Caenorhabditis elegans: one gene and its partner. The protein of the gene in region 2 purifies or fractionates together with the protein of the main gene of each other region. This does not show direct contact. Each region holds a gene or a part of one and is shown on either strand. Other genes may lie near its edges. The genes, in order: F15B9.8 and F59B1.2.

Evidence for each region.
Region 1: the proteins of F59B1.2 (region 2) and F15B9.8 fractionate together in Caenorhabditis elegans (co-fractionation; one large-scale study listed by BioGRID). This does not show direct contact.

What each region holds. Positions count from the first base shown.
Region 1 is NC_003283.11:12,986,740-12,992,697, reverse strand, and holds F15B9.8 (Beta/gamma crystallin 'Greek key' domain-containing protein), read right to left. Parts: upstream 4,143-5,958; 5' UTR 4,138-4,142; coding exon 4,060-4,137; intron 4,010-4,059; coding exon 3,925-4,009; intron 2,522-3,924; coding exon 2,405-2,521; intron 1,117-2,404; coding exon 986-1,116; intron 750-985; coding exon 654-749; 3' UTR 514-653; downstream 1-513.
Region 2 is NC_003283.11:3,631,301-3,635,414, forward strand, and holds F59B1.2 (uncharacterized protein), read left to right. Parts: upstream 1-2,040; 5' UTR 2,041-2,044; coding exon 2,045-2,142; intron 2,143-2,223; coding exon 2,224-2,419; intron 2,420-2,571; coding exon 2,572-2,640; intron 2,641-3,113; coding exon 3,114-3,236; 3' UTR 3,237-3,378; downstream 3,379-4,114. Other genes in the region: F59B1.6 (Serpentine Receptor, class I), read right to left, coding at 77-391; srx-41 (7TM GPCR serpentine receptor class x (Srx) domain-containing protein), read right to left, coding at 3,388-3,452, 3,755-4,022.

The DNA of each region.
Region 1 (5,958 bases), 9.4 Mb from region 2:
AATTATTATTTTCTGAAATTTGAAAATAAATGTTTTGAAAAATTTGAACTTCGTTCAAACAATTATGATCTTTCTAAAATTAAATGTAGGAGTTTCATTTATTTGAGTCAAATTTTGAAATTTCACTTTAAATTTAACGTGGAGTAGTGGGGAGAAATTATTCTAAAAATTTGCTTAATGTTGCATTGTTTTTAATATTAAAACTGCTCGAACATTTTTGAATTTTTAAAAATAGTTGAAGCATGTTCTAATATTGTACCTAAGCATTTTAGGGGTTCAAACATGACAAATGCCTTAATTTTCTCTGTTTTTACTATTTTGATAGTGAGTATATTTCAACAAAACTTATAAATTTTCAATAACAATTTGTGAATTCAAATTAATAATAAAATTCTCATAATTGTCATTATTGTGTTATTCCCATTAATGAGCATTTGAAAAATTAATACCGATTCAATTTTTCCTGTAGGTCCCATTTGAGACCTCTCTTGCAGTGTCAAAAAAAAAAACAATAAATAAATAAATTATTATTAGATTGAATTGGAAAACGAAAATAACAATTAGTGCATACAATTCGAGAACTGACTGTGAGAAAATGAATGAATTATTAAATAAGAGGTCTCTGTGCTCCTCTCTTCGGAAATTGTTCGGATTTAGGCAAAATCTCCGCTAATCTCACGTTCGATGGACCATGGGTCGGCGGCAACTGGAATATGACCTTCTCCGGCGTCAACGTAGCATTTCTCAATCTGTAAAAACATTAATTGAAATCAATTTCTTCCGTGTTGAAAATAATTCAGATTTTAAATTATTGCAAAAAAAATTTATTACAAAAAACCAACAAAAAAATGAAGCTTCTCATCAAAAATTGCTCTTCAGATTGTATAAACTCGGAGAAATATGATCCGCGGAAAACTTTTTTGGTTAACCACCTAATTTCAATGAACTTATCACTGAATAATTTTATATAAAAGGAAAATCTCACCTCAATAGCATCTCCGTGGCATACAACACGAAGAGCTGGTTTTCTGGAAACACATGTACGAACTCTTGATCTCTCTCCATTTTGGCACATTGACCATGAAGTCCACTCAGTCCATTCTCCGAACGCCAATCCTGAAAAGTGATTATTTTAAGAGAAAAAGAGATAAGAACAGATTAATGTTCTAATGTGATAGACTCTCTCAAATCTCTCAAGGGAATCAACAACAAAATATTGAAACTTGCAAATCGAATCGAATTAGACACGATGCTACTAGTGGATACATCTTTCATGTTTAGCTCTTTTTATATCTCATATTATATGCGTCTTTCAGTTCTGTCATAAATATTTTATAAAGTGTTTGTATTCTTCTTGATAGTAAATTCCAAGAAATTATACTAAATCATAAGAAATATGATTCTGATAAATACGAATCCCGTTTTCGGAAAATTGTTAACTACAATTTTCAATATAGAGAAGCCAAAGAGCTGTTCGTTGATTCCATTTCAAATCGTGATTTTTTCTTAAAGTTAAATTAAGTCTCTTTTTTTGGGATAAAAACTTCAAAATACCCAAAGTAGGTTTCAAAATATTATTTCATTTTTAAATTTGTCTGTAATTCTCGGCTAAATTCAATAAAATTCGCCTAATTTTGATAAACTTTAAACAGAAAATAAGGTTTTGGTTTTTTTTTTTTATTTTTATTAGTATAAGCTTTAATTATTTTTCTTATTTTTCAGTTAGTTTCCACTCAAATTTTTTTAAAATAGTTGCAAAAAAACTTCAACATATTTCCAATCTGATTTTGCTGATTTATAATACAAACTTACAAAAAAATCCATCTTCAAAAAGTCTCAAAATTTCAAAATTGATTCGGTTGAATCCTTAAATTTTAAAGTTCAAGATTACTAATTAACAACAATCTTCTGTGAGGACACACCCTGCAGATTCTTTCCCGATTTTTTTTGACTTGTAGTCTTCTCCAAGTTCTTAAACTAAAAATTGGATTATTTTTTTTAATGTCAAAAATAACAACTAATCCTTTAAATAACTAATAGAAGATCATTTAATAGATAATTCCGAGTAGTCGTCAAATTTCAATCAAAAATTCAGAATGTTGCCCCTGCGCCCCTAGTTTGTCTCATAATATTTTAAAATATTCGTCCTTTTCTCTATTATTTTTCCAAAGCCGCCTACTTCTTCTCCATTCCTTCTTTCTTTGTTTAGACGCCCTGCTCCAAAGCTTTCTTTAACCGATAGAGTAATTTTGTTAAAACGTGTCTATTTCTACGACTTTCGCGCTTATTCTCACGGAGCCATGTCCGAGCAGCTCACACAGCTATGTGATAATTCTTGATTTTTGTTGTTTTCTATTCTCCGATATGGTCACACGTGTTAGAGAAATGTCAATTAGTGGCTTACTTTCTGGAATTCTTCCCGAACTCCCGGAAAGCATTTGTGTTGGCAAGTCAATTGAAATTGAAGCTTCGTTTTGCCTCACACCAGCTGCTTTGGCACGCACTTCAGCAATTTGATCGTCTGAAAATTTCACACTATTTTATAAAATCAATTTACTATTTATTTTTTCATTATTAAAGATTTTAAAACATTTTTCTATGGCTGTAAAAATATTGACAAACATTTGACAATAATACGTCAGTGCTTTCTCAAATTATTTTCTGCTCTAAAGACTCTAGAGAAATCTGTGAATTTTAAAGAATTGTTCAGCACTGAAATTTTAAAGATGGAGAAGTGTGGCACCACCATAATCAACTATCATAATAATAAAAAATTCAAAAAACTTTAAAAAATTGGGAAGATCTCAATTTTTGCCATTTGTTTTTTGAATTTCGTCAATCAAAAATTTTCCTTCGAATTCTACATACAGTCTACTTATGTTTGAAATATTAATATCCAAGCAATGAAGGGATTCAAAATTTTGATAATGCTTAAACTTTATCAAAAAGTAGCGAAAACTCACTAATTACCACTTTTTGACTGTCAATAAAAATGTTTAAAAAAATTTTTTGGAAAGTTTTCATATGATATATGGAAGTTTTGCTATAATGGTCGTTTTAGCATCATAGCAGTTGTTTTTAACAATATATCTACCTTTAAGAATATTTTTTCGTTCAGAACAGTTCATTTTTCAGGAACTTGGAAATATTAGAAAACTAGATATGTCGCAAATAATATGCCTTTATAAAAATTAAGATAAACACCAAAATGTTCATTTTTAACCAAATCAAACATTTTGACCGTTTACATATTATCAAATAATTACAGTCTCGAAGATTTCAAAAAGTGTTCGGCATCTTAAATAAACGATTCAACAAAATGGGTTATTTGTGTTTCTTTCTCCGAAAACTAAATCCCATGCCAATATTTTTAACAAGTAAAAGCTGACAAACAATTGTATGAGACTGAATTTTTTGAACAATATTTGTTCACAATTAGCCAGCGTGTCCCTTAGCTTCAGGTAGGTGTCGAGTTACTTTCAAATGATTTGAGAACTAGTAGCTTTCCCTCCGCGCCAATTTCATATCATATTCCCCTTGTAAGTAAGTTAGTTTCCTAATCTTTTATTTTCCGGTGTTTTTGTGTTTTTTTACATTCTCCTAGTTTTTCTAAAATAAAATTAGCCGCTAACGAATGTTACTAAACAACATGAATGAATACCTTAAATTTTGTGATAAACCTATCCTGAAAAACAGAAACAAATTTTGTGCCTACATAAAGCTCGCTAGGTATTCTAGAGACATTCTCCTAAAAATTGAAAGTAAAAATGTTTGCCTACAGTGTCAGCATACGGTAAAGTGATTAATTATCACAGCCGGCAGACTAAATTTTTCATTAGTGCCATGCTTTCAATAATCTATTTTCAAAAATAATTGTAAAACAATTTATATCTATTGATTCCACCAGGCAAACATTTCACTTACTTGTAACTGCAGAAGCTGGCTGAAGAGGGTGGAAACTTTCTACGAGATCAAATCGTGCTCGATCGTAAGCTCCCAAATTCACTGCCTATAATTAATTCTCTATTTATTTTTCAACCACTAAAACAAAAAACTTACGTCTTGATCATCTATATTAACAGCAACTGGAATCGCTGAAATAAGGGGTAAGAGAGCGAGCAAGATGCACCGGTTCATGTCTTCTGAAATTGGGTAGGAATCAGAAAATATAAATAAGCAAAAAATAAGTATGTGAGAAAATAGTAAAAAGAATACAAATTTATAGGGAAAATCGAAATGACGTGTGAATGGCATAAACATGCCAATAAATCAAACCACTTTCACATTTATTCATTAGTATCTTAAATCTGGTCAGTAAGGCGTGACTAATAGTTCTAGATTCTAGACAATTTCTCTAAATAATCACCACTTATGGAACGGGTACATGTAGAATATATTGTTGCGTAATACAAATGTGTACGTTCATATCCAATTCCATGAACGGACAAGTGATAAGAAAAAGTAAAAAGAAAACGACAAAAGTTATAATCACGGATAAATTTGATGAAAGGTACGCATCTAATCTCATGTATTTGTACATTTGTGGATAGTCGACAAAAAGATGGGGGAAAGGGGCCGAAATAGTCATCCGGAGGGCGGAGGCACTCGCAATGAGGAGACTGGTGTCGATAACGATAAAATGGGTTGAGGGAAAAGCGAGAAAAAAATCGAGTTTTTGCAATGTTGTCCGCTTGTTTGATGCATCATCAACCTTCGCGATTTACATGGCTAACTGGATTTTTTCGGCATTTTTCCACATTTTTCCGTCTAATGATTGGATATTGAGAATGTGCGAGGGTTTTTCATTGTGATGTGATCCTTTGAATAAAAAATCGAGAGTGGATTTACCTAGGCGGAAACGATACGATATCAGCAAGAGTTTTAAGATATTCTGGGTCAGACTTGAGAAGCACGTGATAGAATTTTGACCTTTTGAAGCAAATAGAAGCCTAAAATCATATTGACAATTCTAACGAGTATTTTTTTGTAACTAATATGGTACAGAGTTCTAGGGTTTAATTTGTTCACACACGTCATTTGGGAGCTACAATCAGAAAAAGGGTGTAGGCTCAAATTTAATGAACAAAATTCATGTCTGTACGAAAAGATTTTCCCTGTGATTGATTTGAGTTGAGATAATTTGCACCTACAAATGGTGTACGGGACCTAGCTTTTTACTAATATAAGTTTCAAAAAAGCTTTTCAAGTGTAATGAGCACGGATTGCAATTTTCGTCCATGTCCACTGTTTAATCTTGTAATTTTGAAACTCCAACTTTTGTATATTAAATTAAAAATGAGTATCAATGTTTATTTAAACAATAGACCTTTAACTATGTAGACCATTTCTTAGAAAAACCGACAAAATGATGGCTGTTATTTTGAAATTTGAATAACTAAAATCAAAATTTCAAGACCTCGATGCAATCTTCGTCTATTATAATTATTCCTCCTCCCATATTCAATGTATTTTATATCTTTTTCCATATGTGTTCCTTTCTTCGTTATCATTGCCCTCATAATATTCAAATTCTCAGGTATAGCCATCTCCCCAACACACAACTAAACAAAATGATAATTGGCGACAAGATCAATCGGGATGAGGTGAACAACAGGTACGGTCTGAATAGAAATTAAGTTGTTGATTATTGGCGGGTGGAAAGAGGAAGGGAATCCTTGAAGAGATAGGAATGCATGCCACGGATGCCGTGATCCGTCGGCGGTGGCCCATCGATGAAAAAGTGCATTACACTGGCAAATGAAGAAATAGAGGTGATAAAGAAACAAGAGGGTTGCTGATGATGATAACCGGGTCGAAGATGTTGCCTTTTTCACCCTCTATTACACTTCATTGCTGAAACTGGATAATGACGATTAGTTGAATAAGGAACACGTCTGGATGTGTTCGATTTGAACATAAGACAGTTAAGAAATCAGTTTTGAGAAGAAAACATCAACG
Region 2 (4,114 bases):
AGAATTTTACAAGTTTTTCAATTAGGTGAGAAGATATAGAGCACTGTTGTAAATAAGTTTAAAAAAAAAATCTTACCACTAGAACATAAGAGCTCAAAAATGGAGCAAGATACCCGATACCATATAATCCAGGAAATGGAAATAAAAACACGAGGCTATGAAAACTTCCCCAATAAACTTGAGAAAGCCACAACGTGAAACAATGAGTTATCAAAACTATCTGATAAATTTGAGATTCTTTTTTTCGTTTTCTCGAAATTATTGCATAGAGTAAAATAAATACTATGATAGTGGAAATAACATTAATCAAGTTCATAAGTGGCAGTTGCAGAGACCGGTTATCATTTTCAATTACAGCGAAAAAGTGAGAATTTACAGAAAAATTGTTCATATCCACTGGTAAAAATAATTTTTAAAATTTTTTCTCGATGTGTTGTTACCATAGAAATAGCTTTGAGTGTTAAAAGAACAATGAAAAATTTAGAGACAGCTGATATAATATTATGATTAAATTTTATTCTTTTTCACTTTGACTTGGAATATGAATAATCTAAAGGTGTTTTTGCATTTAAATTTGGTGACGTGTATTTTTTGAAATTGGTGGGTTTTGATAAATACCCAATCAGAATTTGACCTTTAGAAAATTTTTTGCTAAAGACCAAAACAAACTTGAGTGGAAAAAGCATACAATTTAAATTGTTCGGAAAAGATTTTTTACCAAAAATTGTTGCGTGAGCTAATATATTACTCAGATTCCGAAATTCAATTTTTTTTTCCAATTTCCGTCTAACATGTTTCAGTTTTCGTCTATCATTTTTCAGTTTTCGTCTAACATTTTTCAATTTTCGTCTAACATTTTTCAGTTTTCGTATAACATTTTTCAGTTTTCGTATAACATTTTTCAGTTTTCACATTTTCAAACGTAATCCCAAATATTGCATCATTGCCTCAAACCTGAACTCCTGACCACTTCCCACAAGCAAAATATTTGTGTTTTTACCATACTTTTAATGATCACAATCTAAAATTTACAGATAAAACCACCACTCCAGACTCATCTATGAACGTTCAAAACATCAACCCGCGTGATCTCTCCCACCAAATTTTCCCAGTTTTTTCTTCAAGCGACGTTTCCTTAACCGCTCTATTTCGATCAATTTACGTCAATGCTCTGCGAGTTTGACGTACACAAAAATTGGTGAAAAGTGCAGAAAACAGTACGTTATCAGTGTGATTGTGCTTATAAGCTTCATCGATTGCTATCTATTCTCAATTGTTGGTGACACTTTTTCTCCCGGTTTTTTTTCGATTTTTAAACTTGATCAGGTTTATTTTATGATTATTTAGTTTAGAAGAAACCTTTTAATCTGTGGAGATTTTGCTTTGGATTCCAAAAATTCCAAAAAAAGAAACAAACGAAAAAAAACCAAGTTTTGAAAAAAGATGTACTTCAAAATAAAAATCCCCGTTCAAACCAGCCATCGTCATTCAACTCCGCCTACTTGGCTTGATTGGTTCAAAAGTGGGCGGCGCTAATCGCTGATTGGTCCACGTTTTTGCAAAATGGATATTTCATAATTTTTCAACTTTTTCTGTTATTTTTTGTGGTATTTCTGAATCACAGTTTTAATAAGTATTTCACAGAAAACCTCCCATTTCTGCTATTTATACATATATTACCAATTAAAAAAAGGTGTTTAAATTTAAAAAAAAAATGTAGTGACCAGCATCTCACGAGTTAGTTTTCACATTAATTATGACAACACCAATAACTCAAAAACCAAAGTGTTCATCTTGTTTTTTAGCCACAAACAGTTCAGAAATTATCGCCAATTCATTGTCATGTGAGATGTCGGCTGCTATATTTTTTGTCATGAGATTTAGGGTTAACAACAATTTGGGCGTGATTTTATATTACTTTTGAAAAAAATAAATTTTGAGTTATGCAAATTTTCTAAAAATTTTTTTTCTCTGCATTTTTTGTTGTCTTTCAGCTTTTCCTACACAAAATTTATAATTTGAAAAATTCAAAATTTCCAGAAAAATGTATCGTAAGACAATTGTAGTCCTTGCCATCTGTGCACTTCTTTTTGTTTCTTCAATTGACTGCAAGAAGGTAGCCAAGGACAAGAAGGGTGGAAAGTTAGTTTTTTTTTAATTAAAAAATTGATTTTTGAATTATTTTGTATAATAATTTCCGTTGAAATAAAATTTATTATTTAGAGCTGAGAAAGCCGAGAAAGTGAAGAAGGTGAAAGCTGAGAAAATTGTGATCGTCGATGAGCCAGAAGTTGTTCACGAAGCAGCACCAGAAGAGGTTCATCATGCTCCAGAAGAAGTTGAAGAAGCCGAGGAAGTTGTTGTCGTCAAGCAGCCAGTTGCCCAGAAGCACAAAATTTCTCCACCAAAGTCATTGAAGGTCAGCGTCAATTGTTTTGATATCAATTTGATGGATTTCTAAAAAATGAGTAAAAAATTATTAAAAAAAATTTTTTTTTTACTAAAAAATTAAAATATAACATTTGAAGATTTTACTAAATCTAAAAGTTGGCTCAAACTTTAATTCTTCAGGTGACCAGCGCCTTCGAGACCTGCAAACTTGAGTGCAGAAAGCAGAGAGATGCCGTTCAAGCCGCTGATGTGAGTTTGGATATTTCCATCTTTTTTTTTAAATAAAAATTTTAATTCCAATTTTTGGAAAAAAATTTAAATGAAATAAATTTTGTTTTAAAACTGATATTTCCTAATTTCAAAAAACTTTTTCTCATGTTTTCGTCAAATTTTTATCTACAAAATTTACACAGGAAAAGGTTTTAACTTTTAATTGAAAATTTTGAAAAATTCCAGAAAAACTGCAAAGTCACAAGTGTGTGCCGAGGAAAGTGAAAAATATTTGAGGCAATTTTTTTTAGCAATTTTTCCAAATTTTCAATTAAAGTTTAATTAAATTTAAAGTCACTTCCAAAACATTAAAAAAAAACATATTTATCTGTATTTCTATATAACTTTCTTTTGAAAAAACTTTGGCACAACCGTGTGCTACAAAATTTTTTTTTCCAAATTTTCAAACTTGTTTTGCAACTTCTAAATTCTACTTTTTCTCAAATTTTCAGTACGTCGAGCAACTCCGACGTGAGCTCGCCTCCGCTCAAGCCGCCCTCGACGCCGAAAATGCTCCAGTAGTCAATGCTCACCACGCTCAAGCCCAGCACGTGGAGCCAGTTGACAATCAATAGATTTTTACATTGAAAACACTGAATTCAAAAACTATATCATTTATTATTCTTATCAGCAAATTAAGAATTAACCATCACCATCATCATCACAATCACGTTTTGTTTTATCAATACAATCGATTCGATTCAATAAAATGTTTATATTTAGTTTTCAATTGTGTGTGTGAGAGCTCGTGTTATCAATCGCTTGTGTGATCGAGTAGGTGACTCGGGTGGCTGGAAAAAATTGCATAGCTATATATACACATTCTAGTTTGTAGTTTGTAGTTTGTGACGTCACTGGTCGTAAAAACTTTGGAAAATTGCGCACAAGGGAATCTGGCCGATCTGTGGTGAGGGAAGCTGACTAAATGCGCAGCGCCCGACATTTTCTGGGTTTGGCACTATTTTTCAGATAAATAGTTGCACTATGCACAGTAGACAAAAGCAGTTTGCAGTTTGTAATTTATGTTGCAGCCGACACTAGTTTGGGACCGCGAGAACCCACTCTTTTATCTAAGATATTGCCCTTAACTCACTTCTCTTCGTCAATGGATTTTTCATCAGCATGTTTCGAAACTCGCGATTCAAAAGAATCAAGACCAACGGATCAATAGTATGCACCAAACTCCACGCTACCGTCGTGCACAGGAAAATAGCCACCGGCTGTGATTGCATTCCGGAGATTATGAAAAAGAAGACGAGCTCCGTCGCAAAAACTGCTCCCTGAATCAGAGCCTGCTTGACGAATGTGATCTCCCGCTGTCGCTTTTTCTGGCTCTGGGCACAGTTGGCTGACAAAAGCTTCTGAAACAATATATACAATGTACAGTACTCATATATTATACTTACAGTAATCTCGCAATCTTGGAGATAAATTGTTTCCTACAGTAATCCTA